Linked DNA regions of Anolis sagrei. The protein of the gene in region 2 interacts with the protein of the main gene of each other region in a pairwise test. Links are inferred from orthologs where the notes say so. Each region holds a gene or a part of one and is shown on either strand. Other genes may lie near its edges.

What was found.
Region 1: the proteins of MIF (region 2) and BNIPL interact in a two-hybrid assay, tested with the Homo sapiens proteins (2 studies listed by BioGRID and IntAct). The link is inferred for Anolis sagrei from reciprocal best matches to the Homo sapiens genes MIF and BNIPL.

The regions. Positions count from the first base shown.
Region 1 is NC_090032.1:5,211,639-5,222,374, reverse strand, and holds the start of BNIPL (bcl-2/adenovirus E1B 19 kDa-interacting protein 2-like protein), read right to left. Parts: upstream 5,375-10,736; 5' UTR 4,814-5,374; coding exon 4,674-4,813; intron 3,384-4,673; coding exon 3,291-3,383; intron 1,919-3,290; coding exon 1,857-1,918; intron 875-1,856; coding exon 677-874; intron 1-676. UniProt on the Homo sapiens protein: May be a bridge molecule between BCL2 and ARHGAP1/CDC42 in promoting cell death.
Region 2 is NC_090026.1:764,454-775,943, forward strand, and holds the start of MIF (macrophage migration inhibitory factor), read left to right. Parts: upstream 1-6,238; 5' UTR 6,239-6,419; coding exon 6,420-6,527; intron 6,528-8,676; coding exon 8,677-8,852; intron 8,853-11,490. Other genes in the region: solute carrier family 2, facilitated glucose transporter member 11-like, read left to right, coding at 850-977, 2,118-2,315.

The DNA.
Region 1 (10,736 bases), on a different chromosome or scaffold from region 2:
GCCCCAAAAACCTATGCTATGGAAATGAGACCTGGTTTGCAGCCCCAAAAACTATGCTATGGAAATGAGATCTGGTTTGCAGCCCAACAAAACGTATTATATGGAAATGAGGTCTGGTTTGCAGCCTGAAATAACTATTACATGGGGATGAGCTCTGGATTGCAGCCTGGAAAACCTAATACATGGGAGTGGCCTTGGTTTGCAGCCCCAAAAACCTTATTATGTGGAAATGAGCTCTGGTTTGCAGCCCCAAAAACTTAAGTTATGGAAATGAGCTCTGGTTTGCAGCTGAACAAAATGTACTATATGGAAACGAGGTCAAGTTTGCAGCCTGAAATAACTATTACATGGGGATGAGCTCTGGATTGCAGCCTGCAAAACCTAATACACGGGAGTGGACTTGGTTTGCAGTCCCAAAAACTTTATTATGTGGAAATGAGCTCTGGTTTGCAGCCCCAAAAACTTAAGCTATGGAAATGAGATTTGGTTTGCAGCCCAACTAAACGTATTGTATGGAAATGAGGTCTGGTTTGCAGCCCGAAATAACTATTACATGGGGATGAGCTCTGGATTGCAGCCTGGAAAACCTAATACCTGGGAGTGGGCTTGGTTTGCAGCCCCAAAAACTTATTATATGGAAAGGAGCTCTGGGTGAAACCCGAATCCATGCCCTCACCATCCCATTCGAACCCATGGCTTTCCTGCAGCTCGCTCTCGGACGGCGTCTCCAACTCGTCCACATCGATGTCCAGGCTCCCATCTGGCGTCCGTTCCGGAAACTCCTCCGACTTCACTGACCCGTCTCCAAGTTCGGGGGCCGGGAGGCGTTTCTTCATGTGTCGCCGTCCGCACAGCTCCAGCGTGTTGAGGGCAACTGGGGGGGCGGGGGGGGGGGGGAGGAGGGATCAAAGGTCAAAGGTCAAGTGGAAGGTCCCGGGTTCAAATTCAAACCAAAATACTCCCAAGTTTCCTTATTGTTGTTGTTTATTCGTTCCGTTGCTTCTGACTCTTTGTGACCAAGTTTCCTAGAGAACCAATTTTGGATCATAACTCCCAAAGGTTCAGTATCACTATGACTGGGAGCGATGGGCTCTGTAGTCCAAAATTTTATATACCTGAGACCCCAGAATAGATAAGAGTTGGGCCAAGCTTCGTCTCTTTTTGGAGACTACAAACACGGACAGATTCATTGACTTGACTGCTTGAGGACATCATTCAGATGTTGTTGGACTACAACTCCCATCAGTCCTGGCCAACGTCAAAACTAATAGGAAAGTCTCAGCATCAAGACCACCTCTCCAAGGATTTCTCCCTTGCAACCAGGTGAAATTCAATGGTTTGGTGGCTGCAATTCCCCCGAAAGTGGCTTTTAAAAACCCAGGATGATGGGAAATGTAGTCTCCAGAATACCCAAGAATGGTGGCTGCAATTCCCCCGAAAGTGGCTTTTTAAAACCCAGGATGATGGGAAATGTAGTCTTCAGAATACCCAAGAATGGTGACTGCAATTCCCCTAAAAGTGGCTTTTCTTAGCCCAGGATGATGGGAAATGTAGTCTTCGGAATACCCAAGAATGGTGGCTGTAATTCCCCCGAAAGTGGCTTTTAAAAACCCAGGATGATGGGAAATGTAGTCTCCAGAATACCCAAGAATGGTGGCTGCAATTCCCCCGAAAGTGGTTTTTTAAAACCAAGGATGATGGGAAATGTAGTCTTCAGAATACCCAAGAATGGTGGCTGCAATTCCCCCGGAAGTGGCTTTTTAAAACCCAGGTTGATGGGAAATGTAGTCTTCAGAAATCACTGTGGGTGGGTCTATCCAGGGAACTGGACATAAAATTACTATTTATGACCCTACCGGGACTCAATTCTGAACTGGATCCTTCTAGATCCTCTCCGGAGATCTCTTCTGGAAGAGGCCTGTGAAACAGAAGGAGTTGTAAGACGGTGGAGCATCTATATATTTAACATATTTCTTTGATTCTAAGGCATGCTTTTCCTCCCATATAAACATCTCTAAAAATGTAGCGCACCTTAGAATCATACACACACACACATATATACACACACACACAAACAATATAATAATACAATAATAGCTATATCAATATATTGTATATTGGTATATCTAATCAATATATTGTATAATAATACAATAATAGGTATATCTAATCAATATATTGTATATTGGAATACCTAAACAATATATTGTATAATAATACAATAATAGGTATATCTAATCAATATATTGTATATTGTATACATAATCAATGTATTATATAATAATACAATAATAGATATATCTAATCAATATATTGTATAATAATACAATAATAGATATATCTAATCAATGTATTGTATATTGGTATACCTAATCAATATATTGTGTATTGCTATACCTAATCAATATATTGTATAATACCTCCTACATAGGTATATCTAATCAATATATTGTATAATAATACAATAACAGGTATATTGAATCAATATATTGTATATTGGTATACCTAATCAATATATTGTATAATAATACCATAATAGGTATGTCTAATCAATATATTACATATTAGTATACCTAATCAATATATTGTATAATAATACAATAATAGGTATAACTAATCAATATATTGTGTATTGGTATACCTAATCAATATATTGTATAATCATACAATAATAGGTATACCTAATCAATATATTGTGTATTGGTATACCTAATCAATATATTGTATAATAATGCAATAACAGGTATATCTAATCAATATATTGAATATTGGTATACCTAATCAATATATTGTATAATAATACATTAATAGTTATATCTAATCTATATATTGTATATTGGTATACCTAATCAATATATTGTATAAAACCTCCTATATAGGTATATCTAATCAATATATTGTATAATAATACAATAACAGGTATATTGAATCAATATATTTTATATTGGTACACCTAATCAATATATTGTATAAAATATAGGTATACCTAATCAATATATTGTATAATAGTACAATAATAGGTATATCTAATCAATATAGGATCCCTCGGTGGCGCAGTGGGTTAAACCGCTGAGCTGCTGAACTTGCTGACCGAAGGGCCACCGGTTCAAATCCGGGGAGCAGGGTGAGCTCCCACTGTTAGCCCCAGCTTCTGCCAACCTCGCAGTTTGAAAAAATACAAATGTGAGTAGATCAATAGGTTAACACTCCGGCGGGAAGGGAAGGGTATCGAACTGCATTAATTCTACAGTACAGACGCACTCTTAATAAGCCTTCCCTATGGGGCTCACCGAGGAAACCCATCGTCCTGCCATTCCTCCTTCAGCTCCATGTCTGTGATGTTCAGCGACTCATCTCCTTGCGTTACGGTTTCCTTCTTCAACCTGCAGCAACGAGAAATCGTGGCAAGCATACAGTGAATACAAAATAAAGCCTTTTATACATAAAACAGAGCTGTCAGTTTTGAATTTGCCGCTCCCCACCCCTTTGCCGGCTCGGCGATGATTGGCTGGTGCTCTACAGCTGGGTGGAGGCTCGGCTGCCTCCTGAGCGCCTCAGTCAATGGGTGAGCTTCTGCCGCCTCGGCCCCCTGGCCAATCAGGAGAGAGGGAGGTGGGACGAGAGGGAAACAATGAAGTCTTGAGTGGATTATGGAAATATGTGGTGTCCAAATGGCCCGTGAGTCCTCAGGGGCCTTCAAGCCAGCCAGCTTATTGTCCTGAAGGGTGAGAGGGAAACAATGAAGTCTTGAGTGGATTATGGAAATATGTGGTGTCCAAATGGCCCGTGAGTCCTCAGGGGCCTTCAAGCCAGCCAGCTTATTGTCCTGAAGGGTGAGAGGGAAACAATGAAGTCTTGAGTGGATTATGGAAATATGTGGTGTCCAAATGGCCAGTGAGTCCTCAGGGGCCTTCAAGCCAGCCAGCTTATTGTCCTGAAGGGTGAGAGGGAAACAATGAAGTCTTGAGTGGATTATGGAAATATGTGGTGTCCAAATGGCCAGCGTCCTCAGGGGCCTTTAAGCCAGCCAGCTTATTGTCCTGAAGGGTGAGGGAAACAATTAGGTCTTGAGTGGATTATGGAAATATGTGGTGTCCAAATGGCCGGCGAGTCCTCAGGGGCCTTCAAGCCAGCCAGCTTATTGTCTTGAAGGGTGACAATCAACGTTGATGTCTGGCAAGCCTGCCAGGATCCGGATTTTCCTTGAGCTGGGATATGGAGACAATGGGGCAATCTTGGTTGAAGTTTCGGTTGAGGGAAGTTTGAATGAGGAAACAGATCAGGACGAAGTGTGGCTTTCCGAAGGTTCTTTGTCCTGCTGAGATAGGATCATTTATGCCAAGTGGGCATCTCCCTCTGGGGGTCAACTGTCACCAGAGCTTTGGCCTTCTCTGGGGCCTCAGCGAACTACAAATCCCGGGATCCGACAGCAGTTGGAAGTGGTACCAAACTGCATTCATTCTACAGTGTAGATCGATACCACCCTGTTGTATTTTTCTTACCAACTTTATGGGCTTTTAAAAAAAAACCAGACTCCGATAAGACTCGATTGTCAAGCTGTACCAGTTCCTGCTCAGCCGATCGGGCAGAAAAGGCATTTATTTTTACGGAGGGCGGATTTTGGTGGCATGCAAACAACACAAACAGAGTCATGGGGAGAAACTAAGTGTCACCTGCTTTTCGTCCTGGAATTTGGAGGTAGGCTGCCTCTGGATAGGGAGGCTCCACGCAGGTGACTTTTGGAGTTTTCTATCATAACAATAGAAAGGGTTTCTGGAATGTATATATGCCGAGAAAGACAGGATACATACATCTATTGCCTGCTTCACTATCCATCTATCTGTTTACCTATCCATCTAGCTAGCTATTGATTATCCATTCATCTAGCCAACTATTTGTCTGCCCATCTGTCCATCCACCTATTGAATTATCTAACTAATTATCCACTTACCTTATCTATCTATCTATTCAACTGATTTATCCACTTCTCCATCCACTGACCTTATCCATCTATCCACCTATTGTATCTTTTTATCCATCTGGCTATCTATCCATCCACTTATTAATCCACTCATCTATCAATCCACCCAGCTATTTATTCATCCACCTATCTTATTAATCCACACATCTATCCATTTCATCTATCTATCTATCTATCTATCTATCTATCTATCTATCTATCCAGCTATCTATTTATTTATCCATCGACCAATTTACCTATCCATCCATCCATCCACCTTGTTAATGCACACATCTATCTATCCATCTATTTACCTATCTATTTGCCTATCCACCTTATCCCTTTATCAACCAATCGTATCTATTTATCTATCCGCCCATCTTATCTATCTACCTACCTACCTACCCATCCATCCATCCATCCGTCCGTCCGTCCATCCGTCAACTTGTCTTTCTATCCACCTGTTTATCTATCTGTCCATCTATCCATCTATCCATCTGTCTTTCTATCCACCTATCTATCTGTCCATCTTCCTGCCTATCCATCCATCCATGTCTCAATCTCCTTCTATCCACCTATCTGTCCATCTTCCTATCTATCTATCTATCTATCTATCTATCTATCTATCTATCTATCTTTCCATCCATCCATCCATCCATCCATCCATCCATCCATGTATCAACCTGTCTTTCTATCCACCTATCTATCTGTCCATCTTCCTATCTATCTATCTATCTATCTATCTATCTATCTATCTATCTATCTATCTATCCATCCATCCATCCATCCATCCATCCATCCATCCATCAACTTGTCTTTCTATCCACCTGTTTATCTATCTGTCCATCTATCTATCCATCCATCCATCCATCCATCCATCCATCCATCCATCCATCCGTCTTTCTATCCACCTATCTATCTGCCCATCTTCCTATCATCCATCCATTCATCCATGTCTCAATCTCTTTCTATCCACCTATTTGTCCATCTTCCCATCCATTCATGTATCAATCTGTCTTTCTATCCACCTGTCTGTCTGTCTATCTATCTATCTATCTATCTATCTATCTATCTATCTATCCATCCATCCATCCATCCAGCTATTTATCCATCCACCATTTTCCTACCTATTCACCTATCTGTCCACCTATCTTATACTTTTATTCATCTGTGCATTCATCCATCTACCCATCAGCTTTCCATAGCACCTATCTTATCAACCAACCAACCCACCCATCTATCCATCCACCCATCTAGATATCCATGTGTCTACCCATGCAGCTATTTATCCATTCACCTAGCTTATCAACCCACCTGTTATCTATCTGTCTGTTTATCTATCTATCTATCTATCTATCTATCTATCTATCTATCTATCTATCTATCCATCCACCCACCCACCCACCCACCCATCCATCCAGTTATTTATCCATCCACTCATTCACCTATAGTGTTCCCTCGCTACTTCGCTGTTCACTTCTAGCGGACTCGGTGTTTCGCGGTTTTCAAAAAATATTAATTTAAAATACATATTACGGTATTTTCGCTGTTTCGCGGGTTTTTGCCGCCGCTCTCCGAGGCGCTTTCCCTCCTTGGTCCTCCTTCCCTCCCATCAGCCTTGAAAAAATATTAATGTAAAATATATATTGCGGTATTTTCGCTGTTTCACGGGTTTTTGCCGCTGCCGCTCTCCGACATGCTTTCCCTCCTCGGTCCTCCTTCCCTCCCTCCCATCCTTACTTTCCTTCACTTTATTTTAAGTTTATAAAGACTTAAAATAGTGTATTACTACTAAAACAATGTTTAAATATTCAAATAAATATAGCGTCCCTACTTTGTGGATTTTCACTTTTTGCGGGAGGTCCTGGAACGTCACTCCCGCAATAAGTGAGACGGATTGGATCCGAGTCAATTGGAAAATGTCTGGTTTGTTTTGGTTTGCAAGGAAGATCCTCCTGGGAGTAACTTTGGACCAAGCTCTGATCAGGTAGAAGGGACTCACCTTTCGGGCGGCAGAGCAGCTTCCTGGGAGCCCATCTGGGCCGGAAAAGGTGCCGGGTCCCTCCTGTTCCTTTCCGGGAACCCAAATAGACGACCCAGGAACGGTTGGGACGTCCCACGAAACCGGCGCCGAAAGCCTCCTTGACTCACCCTGGAACTGGTTCTGCAGCATCGAAGGCTTAAGCCCGGTCACGGCGCCTGGGTCCTAATGCCGTGACAAATAGGGAGTTGTGTTGTTTGTTTAACAACACCCGGATTTGGAGAGGTGACATGCAGGGGGAAAAAATCTTTAAAAATGGGTGACTATGAAACAAACGACCAACGGGAACGCCGTTCGCCGAAAAGTCCGTTGTCAAAATACTCAATTTCCATTTCCTTCGATAGGTTGGAACAAAATATATATCCTCCGGTGGGAAATAAGCCTCTCTGATGTGTGTAAATGGGGTGGAAAAAAATCTAGCATGGCAGCATTCTTTCCTTGAATCTGGTGAAGTCGCTGAACCCAAAGGGGATTTTTCTCCAATGGTTCATCCCGGAAAGAAGTGACTCTTCGCATGCCAGCAAGAGGTTTCTCTCCTGGGCTTTTCAGTGCTGTTGTTGTTGTTCATTCGTTCAGTCGTCTCCGACTCTTCGTGACCTCGTGGACCAGCCCACGCCAAAGCTCCCTGTCGGCCGTCACCACCCCCAGCTCCTTCAAGGTCAGTCCAGTCACTTCAAGGATGCCATCCATCCATCTTGCCCTAGGTCGGCCCCTCTTCCTTTTGCCTTCCACTTTCCCCAGCATAATTGTCTTCTCTAGGCTTTGCTGTCTCCTCATGATGTGGCCAAAGTACTTCAACTTTGTCTCTAGCATCCTTCCTTCCAGTGAGCAGCCAGGCTTTATTTCCTGGAGGATGGACTGGTTGGATCTTCTTGCAGTCCAAGGCACTCTCAGCACTTTCCTCCAGCACCACAGCTCAAAAGCATCGACCTTCCTTCGCTCAGCCTTCCCTATGGTCCAGCTCTCACATCCGTAGGTTACTACAGGGAATACCATGGCTTGGACTAGGCGGATCTTTGTTGCCAGTCTGATGTCTCTACTCTTTACTATTTTATCGAGACTGGACATTGCTCTCCTCCCAAGAAGTAAGCGTCTTCTGATTTCCTGGCCACAGTCTGCATCTGCAGTGATCTTTGCGCCTAGAAATACAAAGTCTGTCACGGCCTCCACATTTTCTCCCTCTATTTTCCAGTTGTCAATCATTCTTGTTGCCATAATCTTGGTTTTTTTGACGTTCAGCTGCAACCCGGCTTTTGCGCTTTCTTCTTTCACCTTGATTAGAAGGCTCCTCAGCTCCTCCTCGCTTTCGGCCATCAGAGTGGTGTCATCTGCATATCTGAGGTTGTTAATGTTTCTTCCAGCAATTTTCACCCCAGCTTTGCATTCATCCAGCCCCGCACATCGCATGATGTGTTCTGCATACAAGTTAAAAAGGTTGGGTGAGAGGATGCAGCCTTGCCGTACGCCTTTCCCAATCTTGAACCCGTCTGTTGTTCCGTGGTCAGTTCTTACTGTTGCTACTTGGTCCTTGTACAGATTCCTCAGGAGAGAGACAAGGTGGCTTGGGATGCCCATCCCACTAAGAACTTGCCACAATTTATTATGATCCACACAGTCAAAGGCTTTAGAATAGTCAATGAAGCAGAAGTAGATGTTTTTCTGAAACTCCCTGCCTTTCTCCATTATCCAGCGGATATTGGCAATCTGGTCTCTCGTTCCTCTGCCTTTTCTAAACCCAGCTTGAACATCTGGCAACTCTCGCTCCATGTATTGCTGGAGTCTTCCTTGCAGGATCTTGAGCATTACCTTGCTGGCATGAGAAATAAGGGCCACTGTACGGAAGTTGGAGCAGTCTTTCGCATTTCCCTTTTTTGGTATGGGGATGTAAGTTGATTTTTTCCAGTCTGATGGCCATTCTTGTGTTTTCCATATTTGCTGGCATATGGCATGCATCACCTTGACAGCATCATCTTTTAAGATTTTAAACAGTTCAGCTGGGATCCCGTCGTCTCCTGCTGCCTTGTTGTTAGCAATGCTTCTTAAGGCCCATTCAACCTCACTCCTCAGGATGTCTGGTTCTAATTCATTCACCACACCGTCAAAGCTATCCTCGATATTGTTATCCTTCAGTGCTGTTGGACTTCTTTTATCAATGGCTTGGATGGAGGAAGGTTTAAAGCAGGGGTTCCCAACCTTTTTTTGGCCAGGGACCACTTGACCAGGGACCACTCGAAAAGAGACTAACTTGAACAGAGATCACAGTTGAACAGTGGCTACTTGAACAGGGACAACATTGACAAGGGACCACTTTAACAAGGATCACTTTGACTTAGGGACCATTTTGACCAGGGACCACTTGAACAGGAACCACTTTGACCAGGGACCACTTGAACAGGAACCACTTTGATCAGGGACCACTTGACTAGGGACCACTTTAAAAGAGCCACTTGACTAGGGTCCATGTTGACCAGGAACCACTTGACTAGGGACCACGTTGACCAGGGACCACGTGAATAGGGGCCACTTGAACAGGGACCACCTTGACAAGGGACCACTTGAACAGGGACCACTTTGCGCAGGAACCACTTGAACAGGGGCTACTTGAACAGGGACAACCTTGACAAGGGACCACTTTAACAAGGATCACTTTGACTAGGGACCATTTTGACCAGGGACCACTTGAACAGGAACCACTTTGACCAGGGACCACTTTGCCCAGGGACCACTTCAACAGGAAACACTTTGATCAGGGACCACTTGACTAGGGACCACTTGAAAAGAGCCACTTGACTTGGGTCCACGTTGACCAGGAACCACTTGACTAGGGACCACGTTGACCAGGAACCACTTGACTAGGGACCACGTTGACCAGGGACCACTTGAACAGGAACCACTGTACCTAGGGCCATCTTGACCAGGGACCATTTGAACAGGGACCACTTTGCCCAGGAACCATTTGAATAGGGGCCACTTGAACAGGGACCACCTTGACAAGGGACCACTTGAACAGGGACCACTTTGCACAGGAACCACTTGAACAGGGGCTACTTGAACAGGGACACCTTGACAAGGGATCACTTTAACAAGGATCACTTTGACTAGGGACCATTTTGACCAGGGACCACTTGAACAGGAACCACTTTGACCAGGGACCACTTGACTAGGGACCACTTTGCTCAGGGACTACTTTGCCCAGGGACCGCTTTGCCTGGGGACCACTTGAACAGGGACCACCTTGAATAGGGGCCACTTGAACAGGGACCACCTTGACAAGGAACCACTTGAACAGGGACTACGTGAACAGGGACCACCTTGACAAGGGACCACTTGAACAAGGATCACTTTGACTAGGGACCATTTTGACCAGGGACCACTTGAACAGGGACCACTTTGACCAGGAACCACGTGAACAGGGGCCACCTTGACAAGGGACCACTTGAACAAGGATCACTTTGACTAGGAACCATTTTGACTAGGGACCACTTGAAAAGGAACCACTTTGACAAGGGACAACTTGGACAGGGACCACTTTGACCAGGGATCCCCTTGACCAGGGACCACTTTTACCAGGAACCACTTTGCCCAGGGACTGCTTTGCCCAGGGACCACTTGAACAGGGACCACTTGAACAGGGACCACTTTGACCAGGGACCACATGAAAAGAGACTACTTGAATAAGGATCACCTTGACCAGGGACCACCTTGACCCGGGACCACTTGATCAGGGACCACTGT
Region 2 (11,490 bases):
TTATTTATACCCCGCTACCAGCTCCCCATGGGACTTGGTGCGGCTTACATGAGGCCGAGCCCACAATACAACAATACAAGCAAAACAAGCAACAACAATACAATACAAAGCAATTAAAATCTCATAACACAAAAAGCATAAACATTTAACAAAATACAGTGCGCAATTAAAATCTATGGCATATTACATTATTTAATATGAAGTTAATTTTTCTATGTAATATTTTAAGTTTGGTTAATTTCCTTGTTTTTAAATTTTTCCATTTTTAATTTCAATAATTTAAAATAGAATTAATCATTTTTTAAAAAAATATGAATTCAATTTAAATATGAAACATTTTTAAAATATTTACTTTTTAAAAAATTGATTTAATATTAATTTAATGTTTCTATGTAATATTTTAAGTTCAGTTAATTGTCTTATGGCTGGGCCAAATGTAATTAAAGTTTAAAAAATAATGGTAATATTATCTTTATAATAATATTATATTTTTACGGTTGCAATTATGTTATTTTATTATTGTTTATATTATTATATATTACAATTTTTGTACAATAATAATATATTATTATGTTGTTTTATGTACTATTATTATTCTATTATTTTTAAAAACATTTTATATTCTTATTTTTATTATTGTTATAGTATTATTAGCAGCTGTTAGGGATTGTGGGAGTTGTAGTTCTAAACACCTGGAGGGAAGGAGGGCTGAAGTTGCCTGGCCTAGGCGCTATGGACTAGGATTGCATTGGGCATTTGCGCTGCTGCACCCCACTCCCAGGGGGGTGGGCTAGATGACCCCTGGGGCCCCTTCCCTTCCCAGCCCTCTTCTCCCACTTGGGTCCACAGCAGGGGCCACGGCGTCTGTCCGCATGGAGATCTTTGACCAGGCTTCGAGACCCTCCTCCTTCGTCTTCAGCGCGGTCTTGAATTGGGTCGGGACCCTCGTCATCGGGATGGTCTTCCCCTTCATTGTGGTAAGTAAGGGGCACGCACCTGCGCCATCCCTACAATCAGAACCACTATTCTTAGGCTTACTTATGCCCGGCCTTATTTAAAACATTAAACCATTAATTAAATTTTTTAAACCTTTTTTTAAAAAAAATCCACTTAAATTAAGTTTTGAAATCTGTATTAATTTAATACCAAATTTTATTTTTCTATGTAATATTTTAAGTTTGGTTAATTTCCTTATTTTTAAATTTTTTTATTCCATTTTTAATTTCAATAATTTTTCTATGTAATATTTTAAGTTCAGTTTATTACCTTATTTTTAATTTTTTATTAAAATTTTAATTTCAATAATTTAAAATAGAATTAATAATTTTTTTAAAAAATATGAAGAATGATTTAATTTAAATATTTTTAAATATTAAATATTTTTAAAATATTTACATTTTTTAAAAAAATTCAATAATTTAATACAGAATTAGTCATTTTTTAAAAAAACATTAAGAATGATTTAATTTGATATTTTTAAAATATTAAATATTTTAAAAATATTTACTTTTTTTAAAAAAAATTAATTTAATATGAATTTAATTTTTCTATGTAATATTTTAAGTTCGGTAAATTTCCTTATTTTTACATTTTTATTCTATTTTTAATTTCAGTAATTTAAAATAGAATTAATCATTTTTTAAATATTAAATATTTTTAAAATATTTACTTAAAAATTAATTTAATATGAATTTAATTTTTCTATGTAATATTTTACGTTTAGTTAATTTCCTTATTTTTACATTTTTATTCTATTTTTAATTTCAGTAATTTAAAATAGAATTAATCATTTAAAAAAATATTTAGAAGAATTTTCTATGTAATATTTTAAGAATTTTCTATGTAATATTTTAAGTTTGGTTAATTTTCTTGTTTTTAAATTTTTTTATTCCATTTTAAATTTCAATAATTTAAAATAAAATTAATCATTTTTAAAAAAATATGAAGAATGGTTTAATTTAAATATTTCAAAATATTAAATATTTTAAAATATTTAAAATATGAAAAATGGTTTAATTTAAATATTTTTAAAATATTAAATATTTTTTAAATTTTTACTTTTGTAGAACAATTGATTTAACATGAATGTAATTTTCCTCTTTTTCTCCTTCCTGCAGGAACACTTTGGCCAGTTCTGCTTCCTGCTTTTCATGGCCGTCTTGTATCTCTCCGGTTTCCTCGTTTACTTCTATCTTCCGGAAACCAAAGAGAAGTCGATCATGGAAATCCGGAAGGAATTCGACAAGATCAATTTCAAGAAGGAATTGGAAACGAGCGCTGCCCCAGACGCCCCCGCCTTCTGCACCAAATTATAAGGATTGGGGGGGGGGGGGGGGGGATAGATTTTTGGACCCCAAAATTCCTTCTTTCTAGAAATCCAAATTTATGCTTCCATTTTTTGTTAATAAAGCAACTGTTCTCGCTCTCTAAGTTACTTTGCATCCTTGTTATCTGTGTCTGTCCACCACAAAAGAATTACTGATAGTAACTACAAGTAACGGCAACTAATTATAATGCAAATTACCCAAATAACTGCAGTTGCAAAAAGAAATGTAAGTAACTACATTGTAAAACTAATTATATAAAAGTAACTGCAAAAGTAATTACAATGAATTAGAACATAAAAGCAACTGGTGAAAAGTAACTCTTGTTGCAAAAGGAAATGTAAGTAACGACATCATAAAAATAAATATGCTTATAAGTAACTAACACAAAGGTAACTGCTGACAAGTAACTCTTGTTGCAAAAGGAAATGTAGATAACATCGTACAACTAAATGTATAAAAGTAACTAACAATAATTACAACTATAACATAAAAGCAACTGCTGAAAAGTAACTCTTGTTGCAAAAGGAAATGTAAGTAATGACATCATAAAACTAAATGTGCAAAAGTAACAGTAACAATAATTACAAGTAACTACAATACAAAAGTAACGGCTGAAAAGTAACTTGTTGCAAAAGGAAATGTAAATAACAACATCATAAAACTAAATGTGTAAAAATAACAGTAACAATAATTACAAGTAACTACAATACAAAAGTAACGGCTCAAAAGTAACTTGTTGCAAAAGGAAATGTAACGACATTGTAAAACTAAATGTGCTTACAAGTAACTAACACAAAAGTAACTGCTGAAAAGTAACTTGTTGCAAAAGGAAATGTAGATAACATCGTACAACTAAATGTATAAAAGTAACTAACAATAATTACAACTATAACATAAAAGCAACTGCTGAAAAGTAACTCTTGTTGCAAAAGGAAATGTAAGTAATGACATCATAAAACTAAATGTGCAAAAGTAACAGCAATAGTAATTACAGGTAACTAACACAAAAGTAACTGCTCAAACGTAACTGCAGTTGCTGAAGGAAATGTAAGTAACAACATTGTAAAACTAAATGTGCAAAAGTAACTACTCAAAAGTAACTGCATTTGCAAAGGGAAATGTAATTAATTACAATACAAAATGAAATGTACAAAAGTAATTGCAATTCCAAAAATGTGTTGAAAAAGGAAATGTAAGTAATGACATCATAAAACTAAAGGTACAAAAGTAGCAGCAACAGTAATGACAAGTAACTACAACACAAAAGTAACCACTCAAGAATAATCATAGTTGCAAAAGGAAATGTGAGTAATTATAATACCAAACGAAACGTACAAAAGGAACTGCAATTACAAAAAGAAAACCATGATATGTAGTTGAACTGCAGATACTATTATTATTATTTTATGTATTTATTCCTTGCTGTATCTCCCTAAAGCGAACTCAAAGCGGCTCAAAGAGATCGGTGTAGATAACGTTATCACTATGCCTAAGTAACGAATGCTGGACAAGGTGTGTCTTGAACTACTTTCTAAGGGGCACTCTCCCTTCCCGCTCTCTGATTGGTCCTTGTCAACTCACTTCCTGCATTTTCTGCCAACTTCTGCCCAGAAATTGCATTAACTGCAAACTTGAAAAGGGTCAACAATTAGCTTGCATCAACTTTTGGTTTTCCTTTGGCCAAAGTGGAAAGAAAGAGGGAGAGACGGACAGAATGGCCGCCTTAGTCTCTGACCGGGTGAGCCATAGAATCCTAGTGATGGGATGGCAGAGTTGGGATGGTCCCCCAAAGGCCATCCAGTCCATCCGCTTGGGTCCCCCAGCCTCTTGAGTCCATACATTACTTTTCATGACTTATTTCTTCTGCTGTTGATTCCTCTCCCAAAAGGATTCCTTGGTTGATATCTAATTATACTTCCAGAAGAAGATCTCCAACCTCTGGAGACCAGGATGCAAGGGAGACATGGCTTCCAACTACAGGAAAGAAAGGAGATTCCACCTGAACATGAGGAAGAACTTCCTGACTGGGAGAGCTGTTCAGTAGTGGAACTCTCTGCCCCGGAGGGAGTGTGGTGGAGGCTCCTTCTTTGGAAGCTTTTAAGCAGAGGCTGGATGGCCATCTGTCAGGGGTGATTTGAATGCAATATTCCTGCTTCTTGGCAGAATGGGGGTGGACTGGATGATGGCCCACGAGGTCTCTTCCAACTCTAGGATTCCATGATTCCATGATTCTATGAATGTGTCCAGAGGAGGGAGACTCAAATGATCAAGGGTCTGGAGAACAAGCCCTGTGAGGAGTGGCTTCAAGAGCTGGGCATGTTTAGCGTGCAGAAGAGAAGGCTGAGAGGGGATATGATGAGAGCCCTGTATAAATATGTGAGAGGAAGCCACAGGGAGGAGGAGGGAGCAAGCTTCCTTTCTGCTTCCTTGGAGACTAGGACGCAATGGAACAATGGCTTCAAACTACAAGAGAGGAGATTCCACCTGAACATGAGGAAGAACTTCCTGACTGTGAGAGCCGTTCAGCAGTGGAACTCTCTGCCCCGGAGTGTGGCGGAGGCTCCTTCTTTGGAAGCTTTTAAACAGAGGCTGGATGGCCATCTGTCGGGGGTGCTTTGAATGCAATATTCCTGCTTCTTGGCAGAATGGGGTTGAGCTGGATGATGGCCCACCAGGTGAAATGTGGACCATTTCCGCTCCCTTGGCAGCCACCTCTCCACAAAAGTCAACATTGATACTGAGATTCAACACCACCTGAGCTCTGCGAGTGCAGCATTTTCCCGAATGAAGCAGAGAGTGTTTGAGGACCGGGACATCCGTAGGGAGACCAAGGGGCTTGTCTATAAAGCTATTCCCCTCCCAACCCTGCTCTATGCCTGTGAAATGTGGACTGTCTACAGATGTCAACACTGAGACTGAAATACAATACTGCCTGAGCTCTGTGAGTGCAGCATTCTTCTGAATGAAGCAGAGCATGTTTGAGGACCGGGACATCCGAAGGGAGACCAAGGGGCTTGTTTAGAAAGCTGACTGGGAGAGCTGTTCAGCAGTGGAACTCTCTGCCAAGATTCTTCTGAATGAAGCAGAGAGTGTTTGAGGACCGGGACATCCGTAGGGAGACCAAGGGGCTTGTTTATAAAGCCATTGTCCTCCCAACCCTGCTCTACGCCTGCGAAACGTGGACTGTCTACAGATGTCAACATCGACACTGAAATACAACACCGCCTGAGCTCTGCGAGTGCAGCATTTTCCTGAATGAAGCAGAGAGTGTTTGAGGACCGGGACATCCGTAGGGAGACCAAGGGGCTTGTTTATAAAGCCATTGTCCTCCCAACCCTGCTATATGCTTGCGAAACGTGGACTGTCTACAGATGTCAACATCGACACTGAAATACAACACCGCCTGAGCTCTGCGAGTGCAGCATTTTCCTGAATGGAGCAGAGAGTGTTTGAGGACCGGGACATCTGTAGGGAGACCAAGGTGTTTGTCTATAAAGCTATTGTCCTCCCAACACTGCTCTATGCCTGCGAAACATGGACTGTCTACAGATGTCAACATTGAGACTGAAATACAACATCGCCTGAGCTCTGTGAGTGCAGCATTTTCCCAAATGAAGCAGAGAGTGCTTGAGGACCGGGAAATCCATAGGGAGAGACCAAGGGGCTTGTTTAGAAAGCTGACTGGGAGAGCTGTTCAGCAGTGGAACTCTCTGCCAAGGGGAGGGAGGGCTCTCCTTCCTTCCTTCCTCCTTCTTCCTTCCCTGCCTTCGGGCTCCAGGAGGGTCTGCCTGTTTGTCTGCCTTTTCCAGGCTGTCCTCGTTTGAACCCTCTCTGCCTCCCTCCTTCCCACGTGACGCGGGGGGCGTGTCTGTGTCCCCCCCAAGGGGGTGTGGCCACCCCTCCCCTGGCCCCGCCCTCTTCCGGTCCTGGCCAGCTACGTGCTTGCACGCACAGACTGCCTTCTTCCCTGCCTTCCTGCCTTCCTTCCTTCCTTCCTTTCCTGCCATTGCGCTGCATTGCGACCCAGGCGGGCTTCTGTTTCCTTCCTTCCTTCCTTGGCTTCCTTGCTTCGACTTCCTTCCTTGGGGGAAGATGCCGATGTTCGTGCTGAACACCAACGTGGCGGCGGAAGGCATTCCGGACAGCTTGACCGCAGAGATCACCGACCAGCTGGCCAAGGCCACCGGGAAGCCCAGCCAGGTCAGGAAGAGAGGAAGGGAAGGAGGGAAGGAAGGGAAGGAAGGAAGGAGGAAGGAAGGAAGGAAGAGCGGGAGATGGAAGGAGAGAAAGCACAGGAAGGAAGGAAGGAAGGAAGGATGGGAAGGGAAAACGAAGGAAGGAAGGAAAGGAGGATAGAGGAAAGATTCCAGGAAAGGAGGGAGGGAGGGAGGGCTGGAAGGAAAGGAGGAGAGGAAGGGAAAGAGGGAAAGAAGGGAAGGGAAGAGAGAGAAAGGAAGGAAGGAGAGAAGGAGAGGGGAAAGATGGGAAGGGAGGACAAAGGCAGGAAGGAAAGGAGGATAGAGGAAAGATTCCAGGAGAGGAGAAAGGAGAGGAGGGAAAGAGGGAAAGGAAGGAGGAATAGAGGAAAGGATAGGAGGAAGGCAGGACAAAGGAAGGAAGGAAGAGGGAGAGAAGGAAGGAGAGAAAACTCAGGAAGGAAGGAAGAGAGGGAAGGATGGGAAGGGAAAACGAAGGAAGGAAGGAAAGAAGGATAGAGGAAACATTCCAGGAGAGGAGGAAGGAAGGAGAGAGGAATGAAGGTCTGGAAGGAAAGGAGGAGAGGAAAGGCTATGGAAGGAAGGAATACAGGGAAGGATGGGAAGGGAGGGCGAAGGAAGGAAGTGAAGGGAAAGAAGGGGGAAGAGAAAAAGGATTGCAGGAGAGAAGGAAGGAAGGAAAGGCTCAGGAAGGGAAGGAAGGAAGGAAGAGAGGAAAGGGTGGGAAAGGAGGGCAAAGGAAGGAGGGAAGTGAAGGGAGAAAGAAAAGAAAGAAAGAGGAAGAGATGGAAGGAGAGAAAGGCAGAGAGAGAAAGGAAGGGCCAAGGAAGGGATAGATGGATGGAAGGAAGGACAAAAGGGAGGAAGGAGGGAAAACTATAGGAGAGGTGAAAGGAGAGAAGGAAGGAAAGGAAGGAAGAAGTGGGCGGAAGGAAGAATGAACACAGAAGGAGAGAAAAGGAGGGAGGGAAAGACCAAGGAAGGAAGGAAAGATGGAAGGGAGGGAGGGAGGAAAAGGGGAAAGAAGGAAGAGAAAAGGGAGGAAGATTCCAGGAGAGAAGGGAGGAAGGAAGGAGAGAAAGGGAGAAGGGAAAACAAAATGCTAAAGAAGGAATAGATGGAAAGAGGGAACACAGGAAAGGATGGGAAGGGAGGGCAAAGGAAGGAAAGAAGGGAAGAAAGAGGAAAGATTCCAGGAGAGGAGGAATGAGAGGAGGGAAAGAGGGAGGGAGGAATCTTCTCTGAGAGAAAGCTCACACCCAGACAATGCTCTCTTGTCTTCTTCGCCCTTCCTTCCCTCCCTCCACCCTTTGTGACCTACTTATTTCCCCCCTTCCTTTCTCTCTTCCCTCCCTTTCCTTCTCCTCTTCCTTTCCTTCCCTCCATCCTTCCCTTCATTCATTCTCTCCCACCCTTGGCTACTGCCTTCTTTCCTTCCTTCCCTCTTTCCTTCTTCCTTCCCTGCCACCCTTTGTTCCCTCCTTCTTTCCTTCCTTCCCTCTTTAATTCCTCCCTTTCCCTCTCATTTCCTTCCCTCCCTTCCACCCTTTGTTCCCTCTTTCTTTCCTGTCTTCCCTTCCCTCCTTCCTTTGCTTTCCTCCATCCTTCCCTTCTTTCCTTCCCTCCCTCTTTCTTTCCTCTCTTCCCTCCCACCTTTTTTCCCCTCCTTCTTTCCTTCCTTCCCTTCCATCCTTCATTTCTTTCCTTCTCTCCCTTTGTTCATTCCTGCCTTGCCTCCATTTCCTTCCTTACCTCTTTAATTCCTTCCTTTCCCTCTCATTTCCTTCCTTTCCTCCCTTCCACCTGTTTGTTCCCTTTCTTTCCTCTCTTCCCTCCCCCCTCTTTACCTCCCTTTCTTCTCTTCTACATTCCCTTCCACCCTGTTACCTAATTCTTTCCTTCCTTCCCTTTCCTCTAATTTCCTTTCCTCCCTTCTTCCTTCCCTCCCACCCTTTTTCCCCTCCTTCTTTCCTTCCTTCCTTCCTTCCTTCCTTCCTTCCTTCCTTCCTTCCTTCCTTCCTTCCCTCCCTCCTTCATGTCTTTCCTTCCCTCCCTCCCACCCTTTGTTTCCTCTTCCTTCCTTCCCTCCTTCATTTCCTTCCTTCTCTCCTTCCCTCTTTCACTTTCCCCAGTACATCGCGGTGCACGTCCTTCCCGGCCAGCGCATGTCCTTTGGGGGCTCCTCGTCGGAGCCGTGCGCCCTGTGCAGCCTCCACAGCATCGGCAAGATCGGGGCCGCCCAGAACAAGGCCTACTCCAAGCTCCTCTGCGCACTCCTCCAGGACAAGCTACACATCCCGCCCGACAGGTAGGTAGACAGGTGGGCAGAGCGCCAGGGGACCACAGAAGGCAGCCAAGCAGGCACCCCACCCATCGCTAGGGACCACATTGACTCAAATCTAAGGCGCACCCCTTTGGGCGGGTTACAATTAAAGATTATTATTATTATTATTATTTTCCCCTAAACTGCCTTCCCAAAACCAGGCTGCACATTAGATTCACATCATCTATGGTCAATACTTTTGTGGCTTTCAGGGTTTTGAACATGGAGGGGCGCATCAGATTCGATGGCGCATTAGACTCCAGGAAATACTATATATATATATATATATATATAGAGGAATTGTTAGGAATTGTGGGAGTTGAAATCCCAACACACCTGGAGGGGGGGAGGGCCCAGGTTGGCCCATGCATGGTGTGTGTGTGTGTGTATGTATGTATGTGTGTGTGTGTGTGTATATACACACACACACACACACACACACCATGCATGGGCCAACCTGGGCCCTCCCCCCCTCCAGGTGTGTTGGGATTTCAACTCCCACAATTCCTAACAGCTGGTAATAATATATAATATATAATAATAATAATAATAATAATAATAATAATAAAATAATAATAATATTTTAATTATTATTAAATTGCACCAGTGGTGCAGGAGTGATGACTGGAAGGTTGGGTTGCTGACCTGAAGGTTGCCGTTTCGAATCCAACCCAGGCAGAGGAGGGGTGAGCTCCCTCTGTCAGCTTCAGCTCCATGCAGGGACATGAGGGAAACCTCTGGGCAGCATCCTTGCAGATGGCCAATTCTCTCACACCAGAAGCAACTTGCAGAATTGCACTAGTGGTGCAGGAGTGATGACTGGAAGGTTGGGTTGCTGACCTGAAGGTTGCCGGTTCGAATCCAACCCAGGGAGAGTAGGGGTGAGCTCCCTCTGTCAGCTTCAGCTCCATGCAGGGACATGAGGGAAGCCTCTGGGCAGCATCCTTGCAGATGGCCAATTCTCTCACACCAGAAGCAACTTGCAGAATTGCACTAGTGGTGCAGGAGTGATGACTGGAAGGTTGGGTTGCTGACCTGAAGGTTGCCGGTTCGAATTCAACCCAAGGAGAGTATGGATGAGCTCCCTCTGTCAGCTTCAGCTCCATGCGGGGAAATGAGGGAAGCCTCTGGGCAACATCCTTGCAGACAGCCAATTCTCTCACACCAGAAGCAACTTGCAGTTTCTCAAGTCACTCCTGACACACACAAAAATTAAAATAATATAATATAATAATAAATATTTTAAATAATACAATATGATATATAACAATCTATATAAATAATGTGTAATGTCCGTTTGTTGCAGTTACTCCTGACATGAAAAAAATTAAAATGATATAATATAATAATAAATATTTTAAATAATATAATAATACAATATGATATAATGTGAGATACAACAATCTATAGAAATAATGTATAATGTCCGTTTGTTGCAGTTTCTCAAGTTACTCCTGACACGAAAAAATTTAAATAATGTAATAATAAATATTTTTAATGATATAATAATATAGTACAATATAATATGAGATATAACAATCTATATGAATAATGTGTAATGTGCGTTTGTTGCAGTTTCTCAAGTTACTCCTGACACATAAAAATTAAAATAATATAATAATATAATATGAGATATAACAATCTATATAAATAATGTGTAATGTTTGTTTGTGGGATGAACATAACTCAAAAACCACTGGACGAATGGACACCAAATTTGGACCCAAGACACGAATCAGGCCGACAAGTGACCATTACTCATAAAAACACTGAAAAACACAGCAGAAAGGGCTTAAAAAGCAAAAAATACATTACAATGCATGTGCAAAACCACATATATACACATATACACACACAAAACACATGTTGTTATTGTTATGGTCATTTTAAAGCTAATTGTATTGTTTTAATCTGTTTCTGTAAACCACTCCGAGCCAAATTGGGAGTAGCTGTATACAAGTTGAATAAACAACAACAACAACAACAACAATAATAATAATATACACAGACTGGGCCACAGCAACGCATGGCAGGGGATCGCTAGTAAATATTAAAAATAGTATGTTAAACAAAATAATAAAATATAATAATATAAAACAATATAACAAATATTAAAATATAATAATAATAATAATAATAATAATAATAATAATATACACAGACTGGGCCACAGCAACGTGTGGCAGGGGATGGCTAGTAAATATTAAAAATAGTATGTTAAAACAAAATAATAAAATATAATAATATAAAACAATATAATAATAATAATAATAATAATAATAATAATAATAATATACACAGACTGGGCCACCGCAACGCATGGCAGGGGATGGCTAGTAAATATTAAAAATAGTATGTTGAAACAAAATAATAAAATATAATAATATAAAACAATATAATAATAAATATTAAAATATAATAATAATAATAATAATAATAATAATATACACAGACTGGGCCACAGCAACGCGTGGCAGGGGATGGCTAGTAAATATTAAAAATAGTATGTTGAAACAAAATAATAAAATATAATAATATTAAACAATATAGCAATAAATATTAAAATATAATAATAATAATAATAATAATAATAATAATAATAATAATAACAATATACACAGAC